2 linked regions of the Saccharomyces cerevisiae S288C genome follow. Changing the gene in region 2 together with the main gene of any one other region gives a genetic interaction. Each region holds a gene or a part of one and is shown on either strand. Other genes may lie near its edges. The genes, in order: YBR197C and YNR068C.

Evidence for each region.
Region 1: mutations in YNR068C (region 2) and YBR197C together harm fitness more than expected from each alone (negative genetic interaction), as found in Saccharomyces cerevisiae (one large-scale study listed by BioGRID).

What each region holds. Positions count from the first base shown.
Region 1 is NC_001134.8:611,375-620,088, forward strand, and holds YBR197C (uncharacterized protein), read right to left. Parts: upstream 4,483-8,714; coding exon 3,829-4,482; downstream 1-3,828. Other genes in the region: MSI1 (Msi1p), read right to left, coding at 1-508; PGI1 (glucose-6-phosphate isomerase), read right to left, coding at 862-2,526; YBR196C-A (uncharacterized protein), read right to left, coding at 2,650-2,799; YBR196C-B (uncharacterized protein), read right to left, coding at 3,152-3,256; TAF5 (chromatin modification protein), read right to left, coding at 4,753-7,149; KTR4 (putative mannosyltransferase), read left to right, coding at 7,535-8,714.
Region 2 is NC_001146.8:753,668-762,517, reverse strand, and holds YNR068C (uncharacterized protein), read left to right. Parts: upstream 1-1,632; coding exon 1,633-2,451; downstream 2,452-8,850. Other genes in the region: BSC5 (Bsc5p), read left to right, coding at 1-1,395; DSE4 (endo-1,3(4)-beta-glucanase), read left to right, coding at 3,419-6,772; YNR066C (uncharacterized protein), read left to right, coding at 7,483-8,793; YNR065C (uncharacterized protein), read left to right, coding at 8,818-8,850.

The sequences.
Region 1 (8,714 bases), on a different chromosome or scaffold from region 2:
ACTGTCTTATTCTAGTAGAGCCGTGTTTTGTTCTATCGAATATGTAGATTGCACCATCTGAAGAGGCGCCGGCTATAATATCTGGATTTTGAGGCAAATATCTTGCCCTATTGCATTCCCCGTTTGGGAAGAAAATACTGATGTCATTTACTAAGTGTTTGGAGGGAAACCTTGTCGAGTTCTCCGGTTTGAATTCCATTTCGTCCATGTCGAAATTATTTAAAGATGACCATTTTATATGACCCAACGTGGATATTTTGCTAATATATATGGTCTCATCTTCAGGTTTTTGGGAAGATGTAAATGAGGATAACAAGATGCGATGCTCATCCGAAGTGGTATCTAAATCAGGAAAGAACTGGCACGTTAAGGACGGCCACTTTGTTGAATTCGTGTTTAGGTAATCATAAAGTAGTTTAGTGTTTTTCTTCCAGTGCGAGTATCTTTCTTGCAAATCGATGGGTATACTGGAGGCTTCATGAGTTATGTCCTTCGCGCACTGATTCATCTTTGAAACTAAATTTGTATATTGTTTGTCAGAAATAGGACCTGATATCCTCCTTTTAAACAGTTGATGAGAACCTTTTTCGCAAGTTCAAGGTGCTCTAATTTTTAAAATTTTTACTTTTCGCGACACAATAAAGTCTTCACGACGCTAAACTATTAGTGCACATAATGTAGTTACTTGGACGCTGTTCAATAATGTATAAAATTTATTTCCTTTGCATTACGTACATTATATAACCAAATCTTAAAAATATAGAAATATGATATGTGTATAATAATATAAGCAAAATTTACGTATCTTTGCTTATAATATAGCTTTAATGTTCTTTAGGTATATATTTAAGAGCGATTTGTTCACATCCATTCCTTGAATTGATTGATTAAACCGTTGGTAGAAGCATCGTGGGTAGAAATGGTGGAGGAGTTGTCCAATTCCTTGCCGATGACTTTAGCCAAGACTTTACCCAATTCAACACCCCATTGGTCGAAAGAGTTGATATTCCAAATGGCACCTTCAGTGAAAGTAACATGTTCGTAGTAGGCAATCAAAGCACCCAAAGTAGCTGGAGTAATCTTTTGAGCCAAGATAGAGGTAGTTGGTCTGTTACCTGAGAAGACCTTGTGTGGGACCAAACCACCAGTGGCACCTTCAGCCTTAACTTGTTCTTCATCCTTACCAACCATTAAAGCTTCAGCTTGAGCAAAGAAGTTTGAAGCCAACATCTTTTGATGTAATTTGTTCTCAATTGGGTTATGAGATTGAGCAGCTAAGATGAAATCAGATGGAATCAACTTGGTACCTTGGTGAACCAATTGGAAGAAAGAGTGTTGAGCGTTGGTAGCTGGTTCACCAAACAAGATAGAACCAGTAGAGTAGTCAGTAAACACGTTACCTCTGGTAACAGACTTACCGTTAGATTCCATTGACAATTGTTGCAAGTAGGCTGGGAATCTGTGCAAGTATTGGTCGAATGGAGCAACCAAATGGGTTTGAGCACCAAAGAAGTTGTTGTACCAGACAGACAACAAACCACCCAACAATGGAATGTTGTCTTCCAATGGGGTTTGGGTGAAGTGGTTGTCGACGGCTTCAGCACCCTTCAAGAAAGCCTCAAAGTTGTCATAGCCAATGTACAAGGCAACAGACAAACCAATAGCCGACCAGACAGAGTAACGACCACCGACCCAACTTTCGAAACCAAACATGTTTTTGGTGTCAATACCGAACTTGGCAACTTCGGTTTCGTTAGTGGACAAAGCAGCGAAATGCTTAGCAATGTGAGATGGATCATTACCTGTCTTCGACAAGAACCAGTTCTTGGCAGTGTTAGCGTTAGTGATAGTTTCAGCGGTAGTGAAAGTCTTGGAAGCAATCAAAAACAAAGTAGTTTCTGGGTCAACAACCTTCAAGGTTTCAGCAATGTGAGTACCGTCAATGTTGGAAACGAAGTGGACATCCAAGACACCAGCGTAGTGCTTCAAAGCCTCAGTGACCATGACTGGACCCAAATCGGAACCACCAATACCGATGTTAACAACATCGGTGATCTTCTTACCGGTATAACCCTTCCATTCACCAGAACGAACTTGTTCAGAGAACTCCTTCATGTGCTTCAAGACAGAGTCGACTTCTGGAGCAACGTTGACACCATCAACGTACATTGGCTTGTTAGCTCTGTTTCTCAATGCGACGTGGTAGACAGCACGATCTTCAGTGGAGTTGATGTGTTCACCTTTGAACATAGCATCTCTCAAACCGGTGACGTTAGCCTCCTTGGCCAGTTCAATCAATGCAGCAATGATTTCATCGTTGACCAAGTTCTTTGAGTAGTCGAACAAGATTTTGGAACCATCATAGTTGGTGAAAGTCTTGTTCAATTTTTCAAAACGCTTGGCATCTTTTTGGAATTCTTGCTTGACAGACAAAGTCTTACCTTGAGATTCATAAATTTTTTGCAACTTAGACCAGGCTGGCAATTCAGTGGCCAGTTTGAAGTTAGTGAATGAGTTATTGGACATTTTTAGGCTGGTATCTTGATTCTAAATCGATTTTGCAAGACTAGAGGAATATGTATTAAAATTCACTGAATGCAAGTAAAATATTAAGTAAAAGAAAGCATTGATTATGAAGAAAGGACCTTTTTAAGATATGAGAACAATGAGAAAAGGAAAAATGGGACGAAACAAATAGGGAAAATTCCGTCTGTAAAACCAATTGTAGTAACAAAAAACGCTCATTTCAATAGCAAAAAAATAGAATACCGTCAATGGATATATATAGACACGGGACATTATAACAACGTGCAGATGGTGATGATTGCAAACCCAAAAAATTACCAGCTTCCTGTAATTCCAGGTTGAGCGCGTGGCTTCCTATAATCCAATACACCCACACCCACCCAGATCGTGATTTTTGTTACCATCCCGGTTCTTGCCTCATTGACATATTTTTCTGACGGTGACAGAACGTGGCCTTGTACACTCTTTTTTAATGTTACGCTGGCACAACATAGTTCAACGAAAAACGAATTAAGTTCTTACTTCCGTGTTTTAATCAGAAAACGATATTCCAATGAGAGATATAAGCGTAAGGTAGCATGTCCGATGGCAAAATTCTCTTTGCTTCCGCAGCGGGGCCAAAGTCTTACTCGCCTCTAACCCCACGTAGGACAAGTGCTGAGAATAAAATAGTCTTGGCGTAGTATGCCTTCTTCAGTAATATTTTTTCTTTTGAAAGTACTACCCACATCCGAACATTGCCACTTACATAGCGATGCAAATAGCCGCCAGGAAATGCCGCATGTTATCCACTAAGAATAGTCAACATTGCATAGCATCCAAATACGTGAAAGCGGACCGATCTTGAGCGAAATGTTTAGTACCGTTGATGTGTAGAAGTAGTGCCCTGAAATACATAGCGGTGTATTATTTAGCATTAACATACAAAAAAAAAATAACGGAGGCACCAATGGAAGTGGTGTCGCTACATTAGTTTTTAACTCAGTCAGAAAACTGAATTTAGTTGATATGGGACCGCTCCAAGGTAGGAGAATACTAGATCAAGTAAAGCAACCGCACTAGTGCCTTTTTCAAACAAGGTGGTTTGATGAGGAGGCTTTCTACAATCCTAGAAATATAAGACATCTGTCAGATTAGCCGCCGTTCATATGGTTTCAAAAGGTTGCGAATGGAGACAAACGTTCCTCGTCCCAAATTAGCCAGACGGAACAGGACAATAAAGGTGATAATGTAATCCATGACTTCCTCTATTTTAGACGGGACTTTTAGCATCCTCTAAATATTTTCAACCCATACATGTCATCAGCATCGGTGAACATCTTTAATAGTATCGACAACTTGGCTCACGTACTTCTCACCGTCAAGTGCGATTTCCGGGTCATGCAATACCTCGTCTGGTTCTTGATCTTTATTCGTGGCAGAATTATGCTGATCCTTATGAGGAGGGCTCCTCAGCTTGGCATACTTTAGTCGCTGATTTCTTTCCCTCATTAATCGCAGTAGTTGAGCGTGCGACTTGCGCATTTGCGTGAGATTGCTCTCAAAATCTCGTGGGAACCCGTCGTTGACGATAGGTTCTTTCGCCATCTTCTTCACATCATCCAGTGTATCGATTTCAGACCATGATACGTCTTGCGTCTCCGTAGGTGCCAGGTTTGAGTGCATTGTTATACGGCTACCATTTACGCTTCTTTCGTATGCAGTATTACCCCTACTAATGCTGGTCGTTAAGGGGTTTAGTGCTGGAGGCGTGGTTAGGTTTTTGGTCGGAAGTGCGTTGGAACTGCCCATTATAGAGGCAGTGGAATCTGAAGATCCCTTTCTTTTATCTTTGTCGCTCTTTGCCTTTAATTGAACCAGCTGAGGGTTTCCTTCCTGGCTACTAGATTTCCTTCTGTTGGTGGAATCCGCGTCGCTTACTTTCACCTGGACTGGTGGGGTTTGCTTCACTCCCATTATTTGTCTTCGTTCGTGCCAGCAACATACATTTCATCTTATTTCTCTGGAAGGTTTTTACAACAACCAGTTACATTTTTCATTTTTCTGTTCTTCGCCTTTCTTGTTTTGGCCCCGATGACTGAGCGAAAAAAAAAAGGCTAAAGAAGACGCTATGATAACCGCCGAGCAGGTCAAGTACGATGTCGAAAAAGCATCTAATAGTTACATATCGGATTAGGTTATACTTATTACATATCACTTCCATGCTGTTATTTTTTTCAGTGTGAATTATGGCCTGAAAGCACCTCCTGCAAGGGCTAAATTGCTTCTGCTGAACTTGACCTTAAAAACAGGCGTCTTTTTGGTGTAGAACGACGCTACTAAATCGCTTGTAGGTATTACTGTTCTTCTGCGACCATATTCTTTTATATCTTGGTTTATAGATGCAGTAACGTCACCCAAGTATCCAATGAATGGCTCATCTGGTTCTGCGCTTGGCTCAGTAGTGGCCTTTTTCAAATCCCATACACGGACTGTATGATCGGCACCTCCACTAATAAGTACGTTTCCCTCTTTGCTATATGATAAGGAATAAATGGCATTCTTACCATGGCCACGCATTTGTTTCAACCTTTTGCCGGTACCAATATCCCATACATTAATAATACCATCTTCGCTACCAGTGGACAACCACCTACCATCTGGACAAACAGCAATAGAAATGACGGGCGCAGTATGTCCAAGAAATAACCTAACCGAGTCGCCTGTAGAAACGTCCCACATTCGACACGTCTTATCGCTGGATCCCGTAAACACATAGCAACCGTTCGGATGAAATGACACACAATCAACATCATTTAAATGTCCTGCAAATATTCTTAATGGATATATGTGATCGCATGACCATAACCTTGCGGTTTGGTCGTGCGATGCAGTGGCGAAATAATGGCCTAGCGGGGAGAAACTAACATCCCACACAGGGTGATTATGGCCCTTATAGCTTACTAGCGCGGTGTGAGTATCCATGGACCATAGCCTGACGGTTTTATCTTCAGAACCAGAAAGTAAATACTTATTATCCGGACTGAAACTTGTTGAATATACTGTACCACTGTGCCCCACCAAAGTTTTACACGTTGGGTCTTCATCCTTGTCGTTGTTATTTAACGCGATGTTAGGATTATTAAGTGATGAGCCGTCGAGTGACCAGATCTTGATATAACTGTCTTGAAAGCCAGCAGCCGCTATCCTACAATCATCACTGAAATCTAAACATGACATGTCTTTATTTGTGTTTTGGAATGTATACATGCACACGCTTGGTAAGGCCAACTGTAAATTATCTAGTTTGATGGCATCACGAGATTCCTTGACCTTCTGAATCTCCAACTTCAAATCTAGTGCCGTCTTTGGTGGTAAAGGTAAAATATCACGTGCTGGCGAAGATAAATTGCTGTCTTTTTTTTCACCATCCACCTTCAATTCGCTCTCTTTTTTTTCCTCATCTTTGGCGATTTTATCTTTAATTTTGTCTTTATCATCGTCGCCAGTATTATCCTTAAATTTTTCGTTATTCATAGCTTTATATTCTTGCAATAAGGTTCTATTGTTGGCTCCACTGTAATTGTCACCTGCAGTTTGTTGATTTAGTTGTTTCTCTTGATCATCCTTAATTTTCAATTCAGTTTCAATCTCCTTAACAAACTCCTCGTCTTTTGGGAAAGGTCCCAGCTTGACAGGAACAGAATTCATTTCTAAATTTTGTTTACCATTTCCGTTTTCACTATCACTGAGAACTTTTATTCCATCAGCCAATTTTTCCCTTGCGGTTACTGATTCTACAATATTTGGATCTAGGTGCTGATTTATTACACTAATTATTAATGAACCTCCAATACTCTCATTTTCATTCAAAAAATATAAGAGAAGATTTAAAGTGGTTTTAGACATAGTAATTCTGTACTTGTGAGATTGGAAAGCACTTGCGACCTCATTTTCCTTGATGTGATCTATAGAATTGACACTGAAAAGTCTATTAATTTCTGAGCCATGGAAGTCCTTAAAATCGGGAGAAAATCTATCAAAGAAACGACGGGCGTAAACAGGATTTTTGGCCACCAAATTTAAAAATAAATAAATGAATATTGGGTACATGATGTAGCTTAGTTCCGGCTTGTAAATTTCCAGCGACGAATCTACCCAGTTTTTCAACATTGAATATGCACGTATATAATTTTCAGGTGCGTTGAGCCCTTCTAGTCGCCCGCTAGATACTATACCACCTTCTGCATCTCTCTTGGATGACAAATTAGTTGGATTGCTTATGGGTTTAGCTGTCTTCCCGGGGTTCGGAGGAATTGATGATTGTTCAGGAAATTTACCTGTTTTAGTATTTGCTGGTGATTGTTTGTTTTGAGGTGTTAGTGTACGTCCACTCTCGGCTCTCAGCATGGCCTCTGTACGGTGGTATCCCTTTTTATTCAGGTACTCTAGGACAATTCTATTCAAGTCTGACGCCGAAAACGGACCATTGGACCTCCCCTGCTGTTGAGACTGGCCTTGACTCTGTTGCTGTGGCTGCTGGCCGGAATTGGCGCCAGCAGCATTATTAGTTCGTTGATTCTTTACTGGTTGTGGCTGATGCGTGCCATTTTGATTCTGATTCGTACTTTGCTTCTGTGACATTCTTATTTTTCAAGTATCTCAACTTGAACCCGGAGTTTCTCGTATCTTTTCTCCTTCTCTTTTCCTACCCTTATGCCTGCTTTATTGCTCTTTCTGCCACTTTGTAGACTTCATTTGAAATCTTGAAACTTTTTTGCTTTTGAACAATTCATCTGAACCCGTAAAAGATGATATTTACAGCTACTTTTACCCGGCTAAGGGGAGAATTCCATTCAACGGAACGAGCTCTATAAGACGTTCTCTAACTGCATGTAGTGAAATATTTTGAACCATTTGATATGCAGATACTTTCACGGTGTTGCACGGCTGTATAATATACAATAGGCCGTTACAGCAGAACACAATTTTTAGTTTAGACCCAACAAGGTGAACCATACGAACTGATATGAGGTTTCTTTCAAAAAGGATACTGAAACCTGTACTTTCAGTGATCATTCTAATATCGATTGCCGTAACCGTTGTTCTTTACTTTTTAACGGCGAATGAGAACTATTTGCAAGCAGTCAAGGATAGTGCCAAGTCCCAGTATGCTTCTCTCCGGGAGAGCTACAAAAGTATTACAGGTAAAACTGAAAGCGCTGATGAACTTCCTGATCATGATGCTGAGGTGTTAGATAGCATAATGGACAGGCTACACGAGCCCCTTTATGAAAAGGACACTTTTGACCCGAATGAAGTCCTTGCTGAAAATAAACAGTTGTACGAGGAGTTTTTACTTCAAGAAATTTCTGAGCCAAAGGTGGACAATTTGGTACGTAGCGGGGATCCGTTAGCCGGCAAGGCAAAAGGAACTATTTTGAGTTTGGTGAGAAATTCTGATTTAGAGGATATAATTTCTTCTATTCAACAGCTAGAAGAGGAGTACAATAAGAATTTTGGATATCCCTATACCTTCCTTAACGATGAGGAATTTACTGACGAATTCAAAGATGGAATAAAAAGTATTCTTCCTAAGGACCGTGTAGTAGAATTTGGCACTATTGGTCCAGATAACTGGAATATGCCTGATAGCATAGATAGGGAGAGATACGACCAAGAAATGGACAAAATGAGTAAAGAGAACATTCAGTATGCAGAGGTGGAATCCTATCATAACATGTGTCGTTTCTATTCTAAAGAATTTTACCATCATCCTCTGCTATCTAAATATAAATATGTGTGGAGATTAGAGCCAAACGTGAATTTCTATTGCAAAATTAACTATGACGTTTTCCAATTTATGAACAAGAATGACAAGATTTATGGGTTTGTTTTGAACCTCTATGATAGTCCGCAAACCATCGAAACGCTATGGACTTCAACTATGGATTTTGTCGAGGAACACCCAAACTATTTGAACGTCAACGGAGCCTTCGCATGGCTAAAAGATAACTCTCAAAATCCAAAAAATTATGATTATACTCAAGGGTATTCAACTTGTCATTTCTGGACCAATTTTGAAATAGTCGATTTAGACTTTTTGAGGTCAGAACCTTATGAAAAATATATGCAATATCTTGAAGAAAAGGGAGGATTCTACTATGAAAGGTGGGGTGATGCCCCTGTAAGAAGTTTGGCACTTGCTT
Region 2 (8,850 bases):
GGAGGAACCTCCTTCGAGGAACCGAGATGTGGAACATCCCAAGGAAAGGAAGAAGACGCTTTCGCATGCAATAATGGAGATCACTGCTCGAGCATAACGAATGTTCAGGAAGATGACTTTGTCCTTCCAGAACTATTGCCGTCATTCGAAATGTATGAAAATTTGCTCAGCAATATACCTCAATCTAGTTTCGATACATACTTTCCGGAGAATCCACCTTTTTATGAGGTTGCTTCCCGAAATCAGAGTATTCCTTCGGAAGGTGAGTCTGGGAATGATATGCGGATTCTTACCGGTGATATCGTTGGCCCAGATAATCATGAAGTGACTGTTGATGGCCGCCGGTTTGCTTCCGGCCCTGCTGAGTCTCAAATTCGTAATTATGATGATACTAAAGGTATCCCAGTTGAGAATATATACGCATTGCCTAGGATTAAAACCCCCATAGCGACTGAATTGTACGTCACAAAGACGGCTCCAAAATTTGGACAGCTTCCTAAACACGAGAGCATGCTAAGGGAATACACCTCTGGGGATATAATTCACGGTTATTTCACTGTAGAAAACAAATCAACCAAACCTATAAAATTCGATATGTTTTATTTAACTTTGGAAGGTACGACAAGTTCAAAAACACAGTCACCCTTTGGAATCCAAAAAACGACAGAAAGAATTTTGAGAATGGTAGATATGGCAGCGAGTTGGTCATATAATCATGAAGACGTGAACACGGGGGAAGACCTTTGTGGATTTTTTGACTCCATTGATAAAACAAGCTTTGGATTACCGAATAGCAGGATACTAAATCCAGGTGATAAACGTAAGAAATTTTTCACTTTTAAAATTCCGAACCAGTTATTAGACGTAACCTGTAAGCACGGTCACTTCTCTCACTCTCTTTTGCCCCCTACATTAGGGTTTGATAGACCATCGAGTTCTCATCCAGAGCTTTCTACTCTAAAATTTTCGGAGAGTTTAGGTTATGGTCGTTTGTCAGAAAGAGGTTCCTCACTATGGTTAAACGACAGTTCTAGTGGCAGCTTAATAAATTACTCAATAAATGCTATGATAGTAGGCAAAGACGTAGCTTCTGGGCGTGTTTGTTTAATGAGTGAAAAAAAGTATAGCATAAGGATAGTTCCATTTGGCTTTCAAAACAATCCAATTAGTAGGGAGAAGTGCCTCAAAGACTTAGAGGATTTCGATATTGAAATTGCAAACAGGCTTGGAATGATCGAAAAAGTCTTTTCTAAAATAGAGCGAGCGATTCCCATTCATAAGGAGGACATACAGGAGGCGAATCGCTCTGATCAACTATCACCCCTAAGAGGTAAGTATGAATGGAACGCGGTAGCTGGAAATACTGAAAACGGAACACTTAAAAAGAAACACTAGTCTGAAGAAGATAAAATTCAAACTGAAATTACTTACTCTATAGCATCTCTCTTCAACACAGGTCTGAAAAATGTGTTTCTCAAAAGTGTGCGTAATATTCCTTCATCTCAACCAGATGATCCCACTTCAAAGACTAACTCAGAGAAAATTGGGCTTATAACAATAAAAATAAAGCCCCCTAGTAATGCTTTGCCATATTGGTGTCCAAATCTAATTCAAAAACAAAATGTATTTTCAATGAGAAACAGGCAGAATCAAAAGAACTGGACTAATTTAAGAGGTCTATTGTCCGTTGAAGAGAGAGAAAAACTAGAAAATTTACGGCTTGAACTAGTATGTATGCAAGCTGCTAATAGTATTCCACATGACCCACCGGAAATCAGTAGTCTGGAGACGGAATTGATTTGCTTAACAACGAACACAAAAGATTGCAAACCAGTGAGGTTCCACAGTGATTTACTTTTAAAGAAGCACAAATACAATGAAATTAAGAAAATATTTAAGGAAATTTTGGAAAACATTGAAGCATATCGCGATGAGTTCACTAAAAATCAAACAAAAATAAACTTACTTCTTGCCGATGACGCAAGAGCTAGCCTGCGTAATAGATCGCTCGATTTTTCTGATTTAATGCCTTCGAGTATAATTAAGGACGTACAGGTTTTAGCCAATATGGAAGCCAATGTTGTTGTCATGAAAAATGCGTTGAAAACGAAGTTGGTTGGAGAGAAAAGTGTGCCTGTTGCTTCTTCTCCTATATCCAGCATAATTCCTCGAACTTCTAGGAATAAAAAAACCTCCCCATCAAACTATCACCATTCGGTACTTTCACATCGGAAATCAAATGAATGGAATCAGGTCAGTTCAACTGAGTATAAGAGAACACTGTTATTGAATATAAAATATAATGATGATTTTAAAGCTACCATAGTGCCAAGTTTTGAAAGTTGTTTATGCTCGAGGTCATATTTCCTCCGCGTAAAACTTCATTTTGATAAAGGTGTTGGATCTGCTGAAATTGATATCCCAGTTCAAGTTAAAAACTCTTTTATTTGATAGATGGCTGTTAAAAAGAATGGTTTCACTGACGAAGTTTTTATCGCTATTGATATTACAGTATCATTACTGATAAACACCTTAGTTCTTGCAGAACTGAAAGTGATAAAGCAAGGAAACAGTGCGCAGTAGCAATCTCTTTTACGATTGTTCTGCGTTTGCCAAGGTATTCTCAAAATACTTTAAGTACTAAAAACCTAAATAATCTCTATACATAGAACTTTGAATTTTCATTGTTTAAAAAAATGTACGGAACTGCTAAGAAAATGTACAAGGTAGTGAAAGCCCACAGAGAGGTACATTTCAAGTGATAAACTTTGCTTTTTAGATTTGAAAATGTGAAATCTTACCACTCTTTAAAGCGACCATACTAGTAATAACGCAGGAATAGTACCACTAAATGGGTTGCCATCAATTTTATGCGCTGTAAGCTGCGCATATGTTTCCTACTTAAGGTTATAAGCATAGAACTGGCCTTTCCTTCAGCAAAAGAATAGAATAAGCCTGCTTGCCAAGAGAACTTGCTCGATAGCGGAGTGCTAGCTATTTTATGACCAATTTGGTATTTGCTGGCATATTTTTGAAAGATCTGGCTTTCTTTTCTTTTTTTCTCCCCTTTTTACCTGAACCTTGTTACCGAGTTCAGCTGCGCTAAGCTCTTTTCGGCTATATTTTGTTATGAAAGCCAGCAGAAAAGGCACGAAATCTCCCAATTTGGTTACCAAGGAAAAACTAGTTAATCATAAAGCTGAACCCAAAAAGTTAAAAATAAGAGCTGGGTATGAAAAGAGTAGCAAAGCATATACACCATACGAAGACTACAAGCGAGGGTAAAGGACTACATATAAATACTTGGTGCAATTTGTTTCAAAAATGAATATCAAGTATGTTTCTTGTGCTTGTTTCAACAAGTAGATAACCATAGTAACGGTCTGCATACAGAAAAGAAAACAAAAAAACAGCTAGTATGCAATTATATCTGACACTTCTTTTTCTATTAAGTTTCGTCGAATGTTCATATATAAGTTTCATATCGAATAATGCAGACGAAATATTGGAAACTGATTTAATTGAAACTTTATCTTACGCTACTTTGACAGTAGGTGAGCCTTATGTTGCACAATCGGTGGTTGTAACAAGAGTATCTGCAGCTTCTCATAGCCCTCTCTCAGTTTCGCCAAAAAATAGAGTGAGCGCATCTCCAATTAATTCACAAGACAGTGATTCTAATACAAGAACAGCAGTTCAACTGTCATTGTCGTTATCAAACTACGCAAGCCAAGTATCTCAAAAAATAAGCGCACAAACCAATAATGATCCTGTCACTGTTTCAAATATTTACGCAAATGATAATTCGAAAAGCAAAAGTTCAGTACACAATTTGAGTTCGGTTTCCGGCGTCGCCTCAGTCATGCCAAGTGCATCAACAATGCGTAAAGTCACCACATTATTATCTCAAACTGCTTCGACTTCGACTTCGACTTTATTTTCTTCATCTTTATCTATTTCGGGGACACAATTAAATGGAACTTTATTGACTTCTGTTTCAAAAGGTACAATCGATCCACTGGTAACTCAAATGCCTTCCTATTCTTCCCAAGAAACAAAAATTATTCCTTCTTCATTGACCTCGAATAAAACGATATATACTATTTCAGTAAGGACAAATGCAGCTACAGCTACCGGCGAAGATTCCTTCATTGCTTCAACTCCTGCTTCCTCGACTTTGTTCTATCCATCCAACTCAACCCAGGATTTAGTCCAGACGCTCGCATCTACAACAGCAAGCCCTGCTTACCCATCTAATAGGACACAAATCACTCTTTCTCCATCTGTATCACTATATTCGACAACTAGTCCAATTTACCCTTCAAACATTACAGAAAACGGTTCTTCACCATCACCATCACTATCATCGACTGTTAGTCCAGTTTATCCATCGAGTTCAACAGGAAACATTCTTTTGTCATCACTATTTTCAACAGTAGATTCTTCTTCCTCTCCGGTTTCTTCGACATTAGATACCATTTATGTATCTTCTTCAATGCAAGCTACCATCTCTTCGTCCTCATCTTCGAGACAAACAAAAACTTCCTCCTCTTCTCTGTCAACCTCGACCAGTAGCACCGCTACCACAACGGAGAACTCTTCAACAACGACCATTGTCAATCTTTTCAATGCTGTTTCGACAGATGAACCACCAACTGTTTTTGACAGATCACCAAATCCTATGTCATTGGCTGATGGGGTGTCAAACGATGGTCCCATTCAAACAAACAAGTTTTATACAAATTTGATTGTTGGTAGTCAGGAATCACCTGCCTTTGTGTATCCTTATTCATTGTGGAAGTACACCTCGAGTTCATATGGTTTTGCTGTTCAACATACAACAGTAGATCAATATAGCTACGGTGGTTATGACAGTTCCGGTAATGCAGAATATTTGGTCAATCCTTTGGGAATTGCTCATGTTGTTTTCTCAGCTTCGAATTTTGATTCAAGTATGACTATGCAAGTTGATGAAATGACCTTGTCTTCAACAAGGGTAGTGCTATCAGAATCCAATGATTCTTCGAACTACCTGGAAATACCTTTGGTTCAAGGTATGGGATTTGCAACTGGTATATATCATGGATCTTTAAATGCCAAGATTGGTTCCAGCGTCGGATTCAATACCATTGTTTCTGAATCATCAAGCAATTTAGCTCAGGGTATTCTCAAATATCGTATCACCCTTTTGAATGGAGTCACTTGGTTATGTTACGTGATAGGACCAGACGATTTAACCTCAACGGACTTTTCATTGGAGGTGAGCTCAGAATATGAAATTAAAGCAAGCGCTAGTGTTGATGGTCTTATCATTCAATTGGCCGTCGCACCTTCTGAAACTGATTACGAGGTCTTTTATGATCAAGCCGCAGGTATGTACGTTACTAATTTCAAGCTGCAGGGTGTCTCTGACGGTTCTACAGCTACCTATGAATTTTCTTATACCACCCAAGGTGAGTCGGCATCAGGTAGCACAATGATTTTTGCCTTGCCCCATCATGAATCTTCATTTAGTGATATAATGCAAGACTACTATACCGGCATTCAACTCGCTTCTACAACTAAGGGTGTAATGAACGGTTATCTAACAACGAGCCTACAATTTTCCACATCTCTAAACAGACAAATATCTTGGTTACCATGGTCTTCTCAACTTGGCTCAAACCTTTTAGAGTATTCTAAAGAACAATTGCAATTATTAGCTGAAGTTGCCAATTCCGAATTACAGGTTAGTATTTCCGAAAGTATAAGCGGGTTAAACACATATTATTTGGGTAAAGTTATCGATAAGTATTCTTACATTCTATTAACGGTCTCCGAAATCATCCAAGATGAAGCCAGTACTAAGAGTACTTTGGAAAACATCAAATCGGCCTTTGATATTCTGCTACAAAATGAACAGACGTATCCACTAATTTACGACACAAAGTTCAACGGTTTGGTCAGTTCAGGAGATTGGGGTTCCACCAGCACGCAATACGATTTTGGTAACACTTATTACAATGACCATCATTTCCATTATGGTTACATTATTCATGCAGCTGCTGTCATCGGCTATGTTGACTCTAAACTGAATGGTACTTGGGCTGCCGACAATAAAGATTGGGTCAATTCATTGGTAAGAGATGTCGCAAATCCATCTGAAAAAGATGAATACTTTGCACAATCGAGAATGTTTGATTGGTTCAACGGTCATTCATGGGCAGCTGGACTTTATGAAAACGGTAACGGTAAGAACGAAGAAAGTAGTAGTGAAGATTACAATTTTGCCTATGCTATGAAGTTATGGGGGGCCACTATCGGTGACCAGTCAATGGAATTGAGGGGTGACTTGATGATTAGTATAATGAAGGATGCAATGAACGACTATTTCTATTATCAAAATGACAACACAGTTGAGCCTGAAGAAATCATAGGAAATAAAGTGAGTGGTATTTTATTCGATAATATTATCGATTATACTACTTATTTTGGAACAAACACAGAATATATCCACGGTATTCATATGCTACCTATCACACCAGTTTCTTCTAATATTCGTTCTGAGACTTTCGTCGAAGAAGAATGGCAGACTAAAATCGAGCCAATTATTGAATCGATAGAAAGCGGCTGGACAGGCATATTGAAGCTGAATCAAGCACTCTTCGACCCAGTAGATTCGTATGCATTTTTCAGTGATTCAACTTTTGATTCATCCACATATTTGGATAACGGAATGAGTCGCACATGGGCATTAGCATTTTCAGGGGGACTGGCCAACTCAATTGCTTAGAAAGAGAACTTGGCAAGCAGGTCTGTCGAGTCTTTCCCACTACATACATATTTTATAGAATAAATCATTTTTACTTAACTTGAAAGTTGTTGCGTTCGAAAAGACCACGGCTAACGGAGACCACTTAGGTAAATGCATGCCAGTAAGAGGTATATTAGTACTTTAATGAATGAACTTAGCAAGGTAATGCCTGCACTAAAATAAAATTCTAACGTCATCCTAAGAAGCATCAATTGGACATAGTGAGGAAAAGTTTTCACCATTTAAAATTTGTTTTGCAGAATACCATTCTAGACTATGATCCCTTAGAGATTCTCATTCTTTAAATATCAGCTTCAACAGCATATCTTTATAGTATTATCGTACTACTGGCGACATTAGCAAATCAAAGTATTTTTGCTCAGTTTCTAGTTTTATCTGTTTGATTCCCCATTAGATGGTAAACACGTTGTCTTGATGACTGAAAAGGAAGTGAACATGGTCAACTCAAAATAACCAGACTCAAAATAATTGCAATTACCTAGGCTAGATATTTTTAGAATATTATGAGAATATTTTTAGAATATTTGCAACCCAAAATATATTTAAATGCCGCCAATTTGCAACCAAAAGATTATCCGCTACCTTTTTTTTAGTCATTGAATCGTAGCATAAAGTTCCGAGCTTTGAAAAAAAGCTTTGAACTAAGAAAAGGTAAGAGATCCTCAATTATGATATTACTCCAAGTCATATGCACGATTTGGACATGTCTCTTTATTCCGTTACTCAATGCAGAGGAATTCGTCCCCAAAGTAACGGAGACTCTTTCAGAATATTCATTTAGTCTAGAGAGCTTTGACGATTCCAACAGTTTAATCAGATTAGATAATCAAGTCGTGTGGATAAGTTCCGATTCTGGAGAAAATTGGGAAGCGGTCAAAGAAATTGAAGGGCATATTCTCGAATTAATTGTTGATCCTTTGCATGGACAGGACAGGGCTTTTGTTTCGATACATTTATCACCCAAATTTTACGTCACCGATGATCGTGGAAAATCATGGAGGGCTCTGACTATACCCGTCTCTGAAAACTGTCGTTTGGGTACTTCTTGCTCTATAGCTACCCATCCGACAGATAAAAAGTACCTTATTGCAGATTGCCCTTGCTTTATAAACGACAATGGTTATATCCAAATACAAAATGAAACTTACTTTACCAACGATGGGGAATCCTTTTACAATATCGAACCTTCCTTGAAAAAGAAAGAAGATGACCATATAACAAGTTCAAGCTGCAACTTTGTCAAATCTAGCAAGGATTCTGATATTGAGGGTAACGACGCTTCGATACTATGTTTGTTCTCGAACCATGGTTACGATAGCGATCGTCACTTAAGTGCCGCATATACACAATTAGCCTTAAGTACTGATGGAGGTAAAACTTTCAAAAAATTTGATGAGTTTAATGATAAAATTATTTATCAATACAAGATATTAAAATCACATATAATCGTTTCGACACAAGATGATAGATACAATGAAATGTCACCCATGGACATCTGGATATCCAATGATGCGTCTACTTTTCAAAAGGCACGTCTACCTGCTCAAGTACGGCACGTCCATATGTATGGAATTTATGAAGATTCTATTGGAAGAATAATCATTCCTATATCTACGATATTCACAGATGAAAAAAACGACCAACCAGCTCCCTCAGAAATTTTAATATCAGATTCTCAAGGGTTGAAATTTTTACCTGTTGAATGGACAATAAATCCTCACTTTGGTTATATTGATATTGCTTCTCCTCATTTCTTAGAAGGAACAATAATTGGCTCGTTTCATCCTTCCTTTGACTACTCTCATAACAAAGGAAAATATAATAAAAAGATAGCCAGATATGAAACTAAAATATCTGTTGATAACGGCCTCACATGGTCAAATTTGAAAGTGGTTGACGAGGAAAATGCAGATTCATTCCCTTGTGATATCACTAGGCCTGAAAGATGTTCGCTCCAGAACCCTTTTTATAGTATCTAAATCTCAAATCCTACTGCCGGAATTATGTTAATGACAGGTTCCGTTGGCGACGGTAGT